Linked DNA regions of Callithrix jacchus. The protein of the gene in region 2 interacts with the protein of the main gene of each other region in a pairwise test. Links are inferred from orthologs where the notes say so. Each region holds a gene or a part of one and is shown on either strand. Other genes may lie near its edges.

The links.
Region 1: the proteins of U2AF2 (region 2) and SUGP1 interact in binary tests that used the Homo sapiens proteins (3 or more experiments, as listed by UniProt). The link is inferred for Callithrix jacchus from reciprocal best matches to the Homo sapiens genes U2AF2 and SUGP1.

The regions. Positions count from the first base shown.
Region 1 is NC_133523.1:17,990,957-17,995,900, reverse strand, and holds part of SUGP1 (SURP and G-patch domain-containing protein 1), read left to right. Parts: intron 1-2,221; coding exon 2,222-2,325; intron 2,326-4,944.
Region 2 is NC_133523.1:48,531,803-48,536,746, forward strand, and holds part of U2AF2 (splicing factor U2AF 65 kDa subunit), read left to right. Parts: intron 1-368; coding exon 369-448; intron 449-531; coding exon 532-654; intron 655-944; coding exon 945-1,043; intron 1,044-1,300; coding exon 1,301-1,549; intron 1,550-4,671; coding exon 4,672-4,806; 3' UTR 4,807-4,944. UniProt on the Homo sapiens protein: Plays a role in pre-mRNA splicing and 3'-end processing. By recruiting PRPF19 and the PRP19C/Prp19 complex/NTC/Nineteen complex to the RNA polymerase II C-terminal domain (CTD), and thereby pre-mRNA, may couple transcription to splicing.

The sequences.
Region 1 (4,944 bases), about 31 Mb from region 2:
TAAAAAGCAGTGTGTCTGAGGAATTTGAGATTGGAGCAGGATGGTGTGCTATAGTAGGAAATAGAAGAGGTAGAATGTGTGCTGTGATCACAATCTTATTTCCTCTGACTTCTAATTTAGAGAGCCAAATAAAGACATACCAGTGTTAATAGTGGTTGTTAAAAGTAGGGAGACTTAGTTGGGTTTTCCCATTCCTTTCTGTGTTTCAGTTTTTCTTTTCTTTTCTTTTCTTTTTTTTTGAAATGGTCCTACTTTGTCACCTAGGCTGGAGTGCAGTGGCACGATTGCAGCTTACCGCAGCCTCGACATCCTGGGTTCTGGTGATCCTCTATAGATCCGGGACTATAGACATGTGCCATCACACCCAGCTAATTTTTTGTATTCTTTGTAGAGATGGGGTTTTCTCCATACTTCCCGGGCTTATTTCAGTTTTTCTACATTGCCATTTGTTCCATAATGAGCCTCTATTACTTTTTTTTTTAAAAAAGAGACAAGATCTCACTCTGTTGCCCATGCTGAAGTATAGTGGTATGATCATACATCATGGTAGCCTCAAACTCCTGGGCTCAAGCGATTCTCCTGTCTCAGTCTCCTGAGTAGCTGGGATTACAAGGATGAGCCACCATGTTTAGCCAAAGCCTGTGTTTCTTTACCCATGTGTGCCTGCAGCTCAGAGCTGGGGGTCTGCAAAGCATCATACATTTCTAAGGAAACAGCCAAAGCAATCTTGCTGGAAGAATCACAGTGTATTTTGTATTTTTTTTTTTTAGATGGAGTTTTGCTCTTGTTACCCAGGCTGGAGTGCAATGGCACGATCTCGGCTCACCGCAACCTCCGCCTCCTGAGTTCAGGCAATACTCCTGCCTCAGCCTCCTGAGTAGCTGGGATTACAGGCACGTGCCACCGTGCCCAGCTAATTTTTTGTATTTTTAGTAGAGATGGGATTTCACCATGTTGACCGGGATGGTCTCGATCTGTTGACCTCGTGATCTACCCACCTCGGCCTTCCAAAGTGCTGGGATTACAGGTTTGAGCCACCGCGCCCAGCCTATTTTGTATTTTATCTCTACTCTCTCCCTCTTTTTTTTTCCAAAATATGTGTATAACTTTTTTAAAAATAACAAGTCAACACAAAGGCAAACCAAAGGGCCTACATATATTTAAATCAGAGCTGGGCACTGCTGATATGCTGTTGTCAGAGCTGCCCTTCCTGCCTGTCAGAAAATGGCATTGGCTAGGAACGGTGTCACATGCCTGTAGTCCTAGTGACTTGGGAGGCTAAGATGGGACCCTTACTTGAGGCCAGGAGTTCAAGACCAGCCTGGACAATATAGTAAGACCTTATCTCTACCCTCCCCTTGCAAAAAATAATTAAATTGAAATATCATCCAGGCATGGTGTCACCTGCCAGTAGTCCCTGTTTTCGCACCATTGCACTCTGTACTTTAGCCTGGGCAACGGAGCAAGACCCTGTCTCTTAAAAATAAATAGGTTGGATGCAGTGGCTCATGCCTGTGATCCCAACACTTTGGGAGGTTGAGGTGGTAGGATCACTTGAGGTTAGAAGTTCGAGACCAGTGTGGCCAACATAGTGAAACCCTGTCTCTACTAAAAAGACAAAAATTAGCCAGGCGTGGTGATGCACGCCTATAATCCCAGCTGCCCGGGAGGCTGAGGCACGAGAATCTTTTGAGCCCAGGTGGAGGAGGTTGCAGTGAACCAAGATTGCGCCACTGTACTCCAGCCTGGGTGACAGTGAAACTGCGTCTCAAATAAACAAATGAATGAATAAATAAATAGAGACATGTAAGCCCTGCCTTGGAGAACTCTAAGGTCTAGCAGGGGGACAGATGTGAGTCAGTAACAACCCAGTTTAACTAGCAAGGGAGGACAGGTGCTGTGCAGAAAGAGAGAAGGAACCGTCTTGTCCAAGGGCCATTTGGACCTGGAGATTCAATATTCAGGCAGAGATAATACATGGAGTAGTGCTCTTATCAGAACAAGATTGTTCCTAGCTTACGGTACCAAAGCCTGCTGTGTGCACTTTGCAGTATCTCCCGAAATCTCCGGGCACCAGTTTGTGGTCCCGGTAGGTGAGAATGCTGCAGTGAGTGAGGGGCCGTGATGGGCGAGGCAGTGGCCTCATCCTCATTCTTGTCTTCTGGTGCCCTCACTGCTCCTCTAGCTGGCTCACCCTCTCTATCCTCTGTCTTCGTTCTAGAATCACAAACGCACACAACTCTTCTTGCGTTTCCAACAAGTTTGCCAATGATGGCAGCTTCCTGCAGCAGTTTCTGAAGTTGCAGAAGTCACAGACCAGCACAGGTGAGTGTAGGCCTCCTGTTCCTTGGTGCTGCCCTCGCATCTCCCCCTGGGGTTGCTGGGCACGTGGGAAGTGATGGGTCACACCTCAGAATCCTTCTGTTCACCTCTAATCAAAGAGCCCCCTCATTCCATCATGCTTGCACCAAAGGCATAAATAAATAACTAATACATAAATAATTTTTGTTTTTTGAGATAGGATCTCAGTCTGTTGCTCAGGCTGGAATACAGTGGCTCAATCATAGCTCACTGCAGCTTTGACCTCTGGGACTCAAGCAAACCTTCCACCTTAGCCTCCCTGTGGCTGGGACTACAGGACACACCATCATACCTGGCTAATTTTTGTATTTTTTTTGTAGAGTTGGGATTTCATCACATTGTCCAGGCTGGTCTTGGACTCCTAAGCTCAAGCCATTCACCTGTCTCAGCCTCCCAAAGTGCTGGGATTACAGGCCACTGTACCCAGCCCAAATAATAAATATGTAAATTAATACCAGGGGGCAAATGTAGACCCCACAGTCAGGGTGTTTATCCTGTAGAAGCAGAGACAGATGAGTCAGGTGAGGCCGTGTTCAAGCCCTCCCCATGCTTGTGGGACCACTTTGGGAGATGGGAGGCATCTCCATACTGGGTCAGCTTGAACCCACCAGCAGGGGTGAGCAGGTCTTCTGTAGATGGGGTTTGCAGGGGCACTGGGCTGGCTTGAGACTCCTGAGCTGCATCAGAGAACAGCAGGTTCTGGGGCTCTTGCTGCAGCTGAGGTGCCCGGTGGGCAGGCAGTCATGGGTGCCCAACAGTGACCACTGGGGCACTGGTGTTTATCAGGTACCACCCTGTGTGCCAGGGAATATGGACTCAGTGCCTGCCATTTCCCTTGCTCTGTGCAAGCAGATGATGCCTGTGCTCTCACTGAATCCTCTGAAGGGACACCTCTCTCTACCTCTGTTTCTCTTTGGTAGACATCTGACAACACACATCATTGTCTCTTCACTCAGAATTCATAGATGTTGGCACAGTGGCTCACGCCTATGATCCCAGCACTTTGAGAGGCCGAAGGGGGCAGGATCGCTTGAGCTTGGGAGTTCAGGACCAGCCTGGGCAAAATGGCTAAACCTACTCTCTACAAAAAAAATACAAAAGATCAGCCAGGCATGGTCGTGTGTGCCTTTAGTCCCAGTGACTGGGTAGGCTGAAATGGGTGGATTGCTTTTGGTCCTGGGAGGTGGAGGTAAGAGTGAGTGAAGATCATGTCAGTGTACTCCAGCCTGGGTGGACAGCAAGACCCTATCTCAAAAAGGAAAAATAATCATAGATGTAACATTTTGCCTTTGAGACTTCTGATCTTTTTTAATCATGAAAAATACTCTGTGGGCACAACGGCTCACACCTGTAATCCCAGCACTTTGGGAGGCCAAGGTGTGCGGATCACTTGAGGTCAGGAGTTTGAGACCAGCTTGGCTAACATTGTGAAACCCCGTCTCTACTAAAAAATTAGCCAGGTGTGGTGGCGCACCCCTGTAATCCCAGCTACTCAGGAGGCTAAGGCAGGCAAATTGCTGGAACCTGAGAGGCGGAGGTTACAGTGAGCTGAGTTTGTGCCACTGCACTCCAGCCTAGGCAACAGAACAAGACTTCATCTGGAAAAGAAAAAAAAGAAAAATACCTGAGATTGGAGTCTTCCCGTCTCCCTTTCTTACAGCAAGTAATTGTTTAGAAATTGTGTTTCGACAACCCCCGTTGTCCTGTCAGGCAAGCAGTGTGTGCCATTATTTTGGATGTTTGACCCTTTACCCAGATGATGACATACCGTGCATTTTGTTCCATGCTTTTTTTTCTCCCACTCGAGGTGAATTTTTAGGTTTAAGTGGTCCATCTAAATCTCTCTCACTGAGTTCTGTAAGCAGCTGATTGTCTCCATTTCCATGCTTTCCATTTTGGAAGCTGAGGCTTAAAAAGATGAAGCCCTTGCTAGGCATGATGGCTCACATCTGTAATCCCTTTGGAAGGCTGAGGTGGGGGGATTGCTTGAATCCAAGAGTGTGAGACAAGCCTGGACAACACAGGAAGAATCCATCTCTGCAAAAAATAAAAATAAAATTAACCAGTCATGGTGGCATGCCTCTGTAGTCCCAGCTACTCTGGAGGCTGAGACAGGACGATTGCTTGAGCCCAGGAGTTCAGGAGGTCGAGACTGCAGTGAACCATGATTGCACCACTGTACTTCAACCTGGTTAACAAACTAAGACCCTGTCATTAAAAAAAAACGATGAGGCTCCCAAGTGCAGAGCTAGCCTCTGTCGTGATCAGTGGGGCCTTGGTCCTGCTCTCAGGGTGGTGAGCTGGCCAGTTTCATGATACTGCTTCCCACTGGACTCAGGGCTCTGCCTGAAGCTGTCACACAGCCCCACCCCATCCCCTGCCTTGGTGTGGGTGCTTGTGCACTGTGGGTCTTCTGGAGACCGAGGTGTGGGTTGGAATTGCTGGCTCCAGGTCCTCTGCACCTGGCCCCGCTGTCAGTGCCTCAGGGGATTCCCAGTCTTCCGCAGCAGGCAGTAACACCTGTGCAAGGAATGGGACCCCTGTCAGTAGGTTGGTCACCTGCAGGTGTGCAGTGTGACAAGC
Region 2 (4,944 bases):
TGGGTGGCTGTCAGTGAAGGGGTGGAGTGTGTTGGGACTCACCAGTGGGTCCCAAGCCCAGGTGACCTGCCAGCGTTCCACAGCAGCAGGTGGCAGAGGTGGGTGTGAACTCGGGTCTTGGTGCCCTCGGGGTGTTTTGGGGGATGTTCTAGTTTGAGGTTCCTCTGAGGCTGGGCAGATCTGGGAGACATGGTGCCTTCTCACGGAGCCGTGGTGTGCCACTGGCCAGGCCCTCCCTTGTCAGATCAGGCTGCGGGGGCGGGGGGGTGGTGATGGGCGCGTGGTGTGGCCCCTCCTCCTTGCCTCAGGACTGTCCCAGGTTTTTGGGAGTTGACCTGGTCCTGGAATTGTCTCTCCTCTGCCCATAGGGGTTGTATCCACTGTGGTCCCTGACTCTGCTCACAAGCTGTTCATCGGGGGCTTACCCAACTACCTAAATGATGACCAGGTAACCTCCCTGCCTCCCTCCAGTCCCCTCCCCACACCCTGCCCCACCTCAGCCCAGCCCTAATGGACTCTTGGCTGCTGTAGGTCAAAGAGCTGCTGACATCCTTCGGGCCCCTCAAGGCCTTCAACCTGGTCAAGGACAGTGCCACGGGGCTCTCCAAGGGCTACGCCTTCTGTGAGTACGTGGACATCAACGTCACGGATCAGGTGAGTCCCCAGTCCCTGGCCGCTGCCGCATCTGTCCTTCCCCGCTCTGTGCTGTTGCCAAGCTGTGGTCTCCCCTCCTCAGGGGACGGGGCGGGAGGCGGCCAACCTGAGGCAGTGCCCTGCGTGTGGGCTGGTCCCTTTCCCATGGTGTTGACTTTTTCCAGGCTCTTCATCCCCTTTGCCTTCCCCTCTTCCCCCACCAATGCCCCGGCTTGGGGGTAGGTGTTGGGCTCCAGATCCCTGACCCCACCTCTCCCCGCACCCCTCCACCCCTCGTCCTCCAAACACAGGCCATTGCGGGGCTGAACGGCATGCAGCTGGGGGATAAGAAGCTGCTTGTCCAGAGGGCGAGTGTGGGAGCCAAGAATGCCACGCTGGTGAGCCCCCCGGCACGTCATCTTCCATTGGCTCGAGGGCCCCCGGGGTTGGGAGGGGCTGGCTAGGGACAGGTGTTCCTGATCTCTCCCCCAGCATATATGGGAAGGCATTTGGGGGTCATTCAGTGCAGTGTTGCGGAGTGGGGCTTTAGGTGTTGAAGTGGAGAGCTGGCCTTTCCCCAGGGTGGGCATCCGAGGGGCACAGGCTTGAGCAGAGGGTGACTGGGTCTGGGCCCCCTGTGACACCCCTTCGTCCTCTGGCTCCACAGAGTACCATCAATCAGACACCTGTGACCCTGCAAGTGCCGGGGCTGATGAGCTCCCAGGTGCAGATGGGCGGCCACCCAACTGAGGTCCTGTGCCTCATGAACATGGTGCTGCCCGAGGAGCTGCTGGATGACGAGGAGTATGAGGAGATCGTGGAGGACGTGCGTGACGAGTGCAGCAAGTACGGGCTGGTCAAGTCCATCGAGATCCCCCGGCCCGTGGACGGTGTCGAGGTGCCTGGCTGCGGAAAGGTCAGGATGCCCCAGGCCCGCGCCCCACTTCCTCACCCTCTCCCCTTCTCCTCCTCTCCCTGCCCCCGCCTTCTTCCTGTTCTGTCTTCCCGTTCCTCTCCCTCTCTCCTGCTCTCCCTGTCTGGGTCTCCCTTTGCTTCACGAGCATAGGTGCCATCACTGTGTGCCGCCCTCAGGCCTGGCCATGGGAGATGTTGGTGACCCAGAGGGCGGTGTGGTCCTGTGGGGGCCCAGGGCCTGCAGGAGGGTCAGTAGCTGGGGAATGCAGCTCTGTATTTGTTTAGAGCTGGACTCTGCTCCTCCTCCTTAAGTGGTCTTGCTTGTGGAAATGGTTTTGCCTGGTTTGTGGAGCAGGGAAGAGTGCTGGGAACAGCCCCAGGACACCTGCTGGTGTCTCGTGTGTGCCAGGCACCCTGCTGAAGCTGTGTCTGTGCTCACCCGGAGCCCTCCCAGTAGCTCCTGAGCCCCATCGTGGGAGGAGACAGGCACAGTGGGGGCAGCTACACAGGGAGGTGTCAGGTTTTTGCAGTCTGATTTCAGAGCCCACCAAGTCCTGTTACCTCCAGCGCCGTGACAGGTGTCATCATCACCTCACCTTGTCTGCCTCTTGAGGCAGTGGTGAGGGCGTGTGTATGGAATTCCCATTGGACCAGGCTCTGAGACTTCAGTAATGAATAGCGGTCTCTTCCATCCTGTGCTGCTGAAGCCCTGGGGATGCAGCTGTTAGAGGGCACCCCTGTTGTGTTGAGTTGCAGCATTCCTGGGCATGTTCATTCAGGGGGGTCAAGGTCAAGAGGTGGCAGTGAGCAGGTGAGGGAGGGAGGTGGTGGGGCTGGGGCTGAGTGGTGGGCCTTGGAGGGCTGCGTGGGTCTTAGAAGGACCAGTTATTTTGAGCCAGATGGGAGGGAAGCTATTGAGAGGCCTCCAGTGTGGTCACACCTGGCAGATGGAAATGGCCCCATGTAGTGAGGTTGGGGGTGCAGAGGTACAGCAGGCACTTCCTTGCAGGGCAGGATGTGGATGAGCAGGAGGGCATGCCAGGAGCTGGAGGGTCGATGCTGCTGAAGTGGCCCAGGAGCCAGGGGTGTCGGGGCCAGGGCTGGCTCTGCAGGGCCAGACTGGGGAGGGCCTTCATATGTTGTGGAAGAGGCTCAGTTTCTCCCTGGAGTGGTGGGTTTTTTTAAAGAGAAAACAGGGCCGTGGTTCCATTTTTGAGGTGATTTTGGCTGCTGTTGAGAAAAGGAATGGTGGGGAGGTCTCCTGGTGACCTGATTTAAAGTAGTAGTAGCAGGGGATGGAGAGGGGTTGATAGATTCGAGACTCGGGCCTGGGAAGTGTGCACACTTTGGTGATTGGTGTGGAGGGAGGGAGAAGGCCTATGAGATACTCGGTGGCAGCTTTGATGGTGGGGATGCCAGGTGAAATGCAGGGGTGAGCAGGTGTGGGGCTAGCTGGCTTTGCGGTTTCTGAGACACCCAGTAGAGATGTCCAGCAACACTTAACTGGACAGGTCTGTGTTCCCAGTGTGAGGGCTGATGGTCGCAGGTCCGGCCTGGGATGTGGGAGTGCTTTGCCCAGGGAGAACAGGGTTGGGGAGGGCAGCTGGAGAGGTGGAAGGGGCATCTTACAGGAGCATGTGGAAGGCCAACGGCATCTCCTGCCCGCTGCGCTCCAGAGTACGGTATGTCAGGGCTGCTCAGGGCTGCCCTCTGGTGCTGGGATGGAGCTTGGCTCAGGCAGAAGCTGAGGAAACATTTGTGGGAACGAGGAGGAATGAAGAGACCCTGGCCTTTGGGATTAGCTGACCTGTTTTGCATATTAAGTGTATTGCATCTGCCAGGTGTGGTGGCGCATGCTTGTAATCCCAGCACTTTGGGAGGCCAAGGCTGGCAGATCACAAGGTCAGGAGTTCAAGACCAGCCTGGCTAATGTGGTGAAACCCCATCTGTATTAAAAGTACAAAAATTAGCTGGGTGTGGTGGTGCATGCCTGTAATCCTAGCTGCTTGAGAGTCTGAGGCAGGAGAATTACTTGAAACCAGGAGGCAGAGGTTGCAGTGAGTCAGAGATTGTACCACTGCACTCTAGCCTGGGCGACAGAGCAAGACTCTGTCTCAGAAAAAAAAAAAAAAATGCGTCTTATTTATTACATTTTTTTTGTTACTTATCTTTGCAAATATATTTAAAAGCAGAGACTGTGATAGTAATATATTTTTATCATAGTATATGTGGTAATATTTTGGTTTACCTTTACCTGGCTTCAAGTTGCCAATATTTTTGTCATTCTTTTTATATTTAGCTAATTTCTCCCGCCGCCTCTTTTTTTCTTTGCTGGATAAAGAATGTCAGATATATTTCTCCTGAGGTCCTTAAGTATGTTTCTCTGAATTCTCAGCTTTGGGTCACATAACTTCTCTGTGGGGGTCTATGCTGTATGTTGTAGGGTGTTGAGAGGCATCATCCCCAGTCTCCACCCATCAAGTGCAGAAGCACTACTCCCTGCTTTGAGATAACCAAAAGCATCTCTAGACATTGCTCAGTGTTCCCTGGGGACACGCCCCTCTCCCCTCCCCCAGTTGACAACCACTGCTCTAACCAGATAACCTTAAAAAATTGTTTTTTAACAAAACCACAATAGCATGATTAATTAGCAAAATTAAGTTTTCAGTGCCTAGTCCATGTTCAAAGGTTTCTGACTCAAGAATACTTGTTTGTTTCCGATTCCTAATTTCCGAGCATCACTTACTTCATTTATTGTTGGGAGAACATGGCTGTTGGGGTGGTTCTGGGAGCGCCCACCGTGATGGCTGGTGTGGAGTAGACACTCAGCACGAGGGACCCCTGGGGTAGGGGTGGTGAGCTTGCCTCTGCCTCTGCCTTCCGCCTGCCCTCTGTGGCTCTGCTGATTCTCTATGCCTGTGGTGTGTCTGTGCTCTTGTTTTTTGATCTTGCAGGATGTTTGGGTGAATTCCACCAAACCTCCACTAAGGGTCCCTTTCTGACGCCTGTGGCAAAGCCCCTTCCTCCCTGCCCCTTCCTGCGTTCAGTTCTGGGTTTGGGTGGATGCTGGCTGGCCACTGGGTGTGAGCCTTGTTCACAAACCTGCCTTTGTTTTCCCCGCAGATCTTTGTGGAGTTCACCTCTGTGTTTGACTGCCAGAAAGCCATGCAGGGCCTGACAGGCCGCAAGTTCGCCAACAGAGTGGTTGTCACAAAATACTGTGACCCCGACTCTTATCACCGCCGGGACTTCTGGTAGAGGCGGCCGGGGGAGGGTGGGGGCAGGGCTGGCTGGGGGCTGTTCCCCACTCCCGCCCCCCCCTTATCCCCCTGTGAAGACGATGGGCAGAGGAGTGACAGCCGCACAACACACGGCAGCCGGCAGCAACTGGAATGG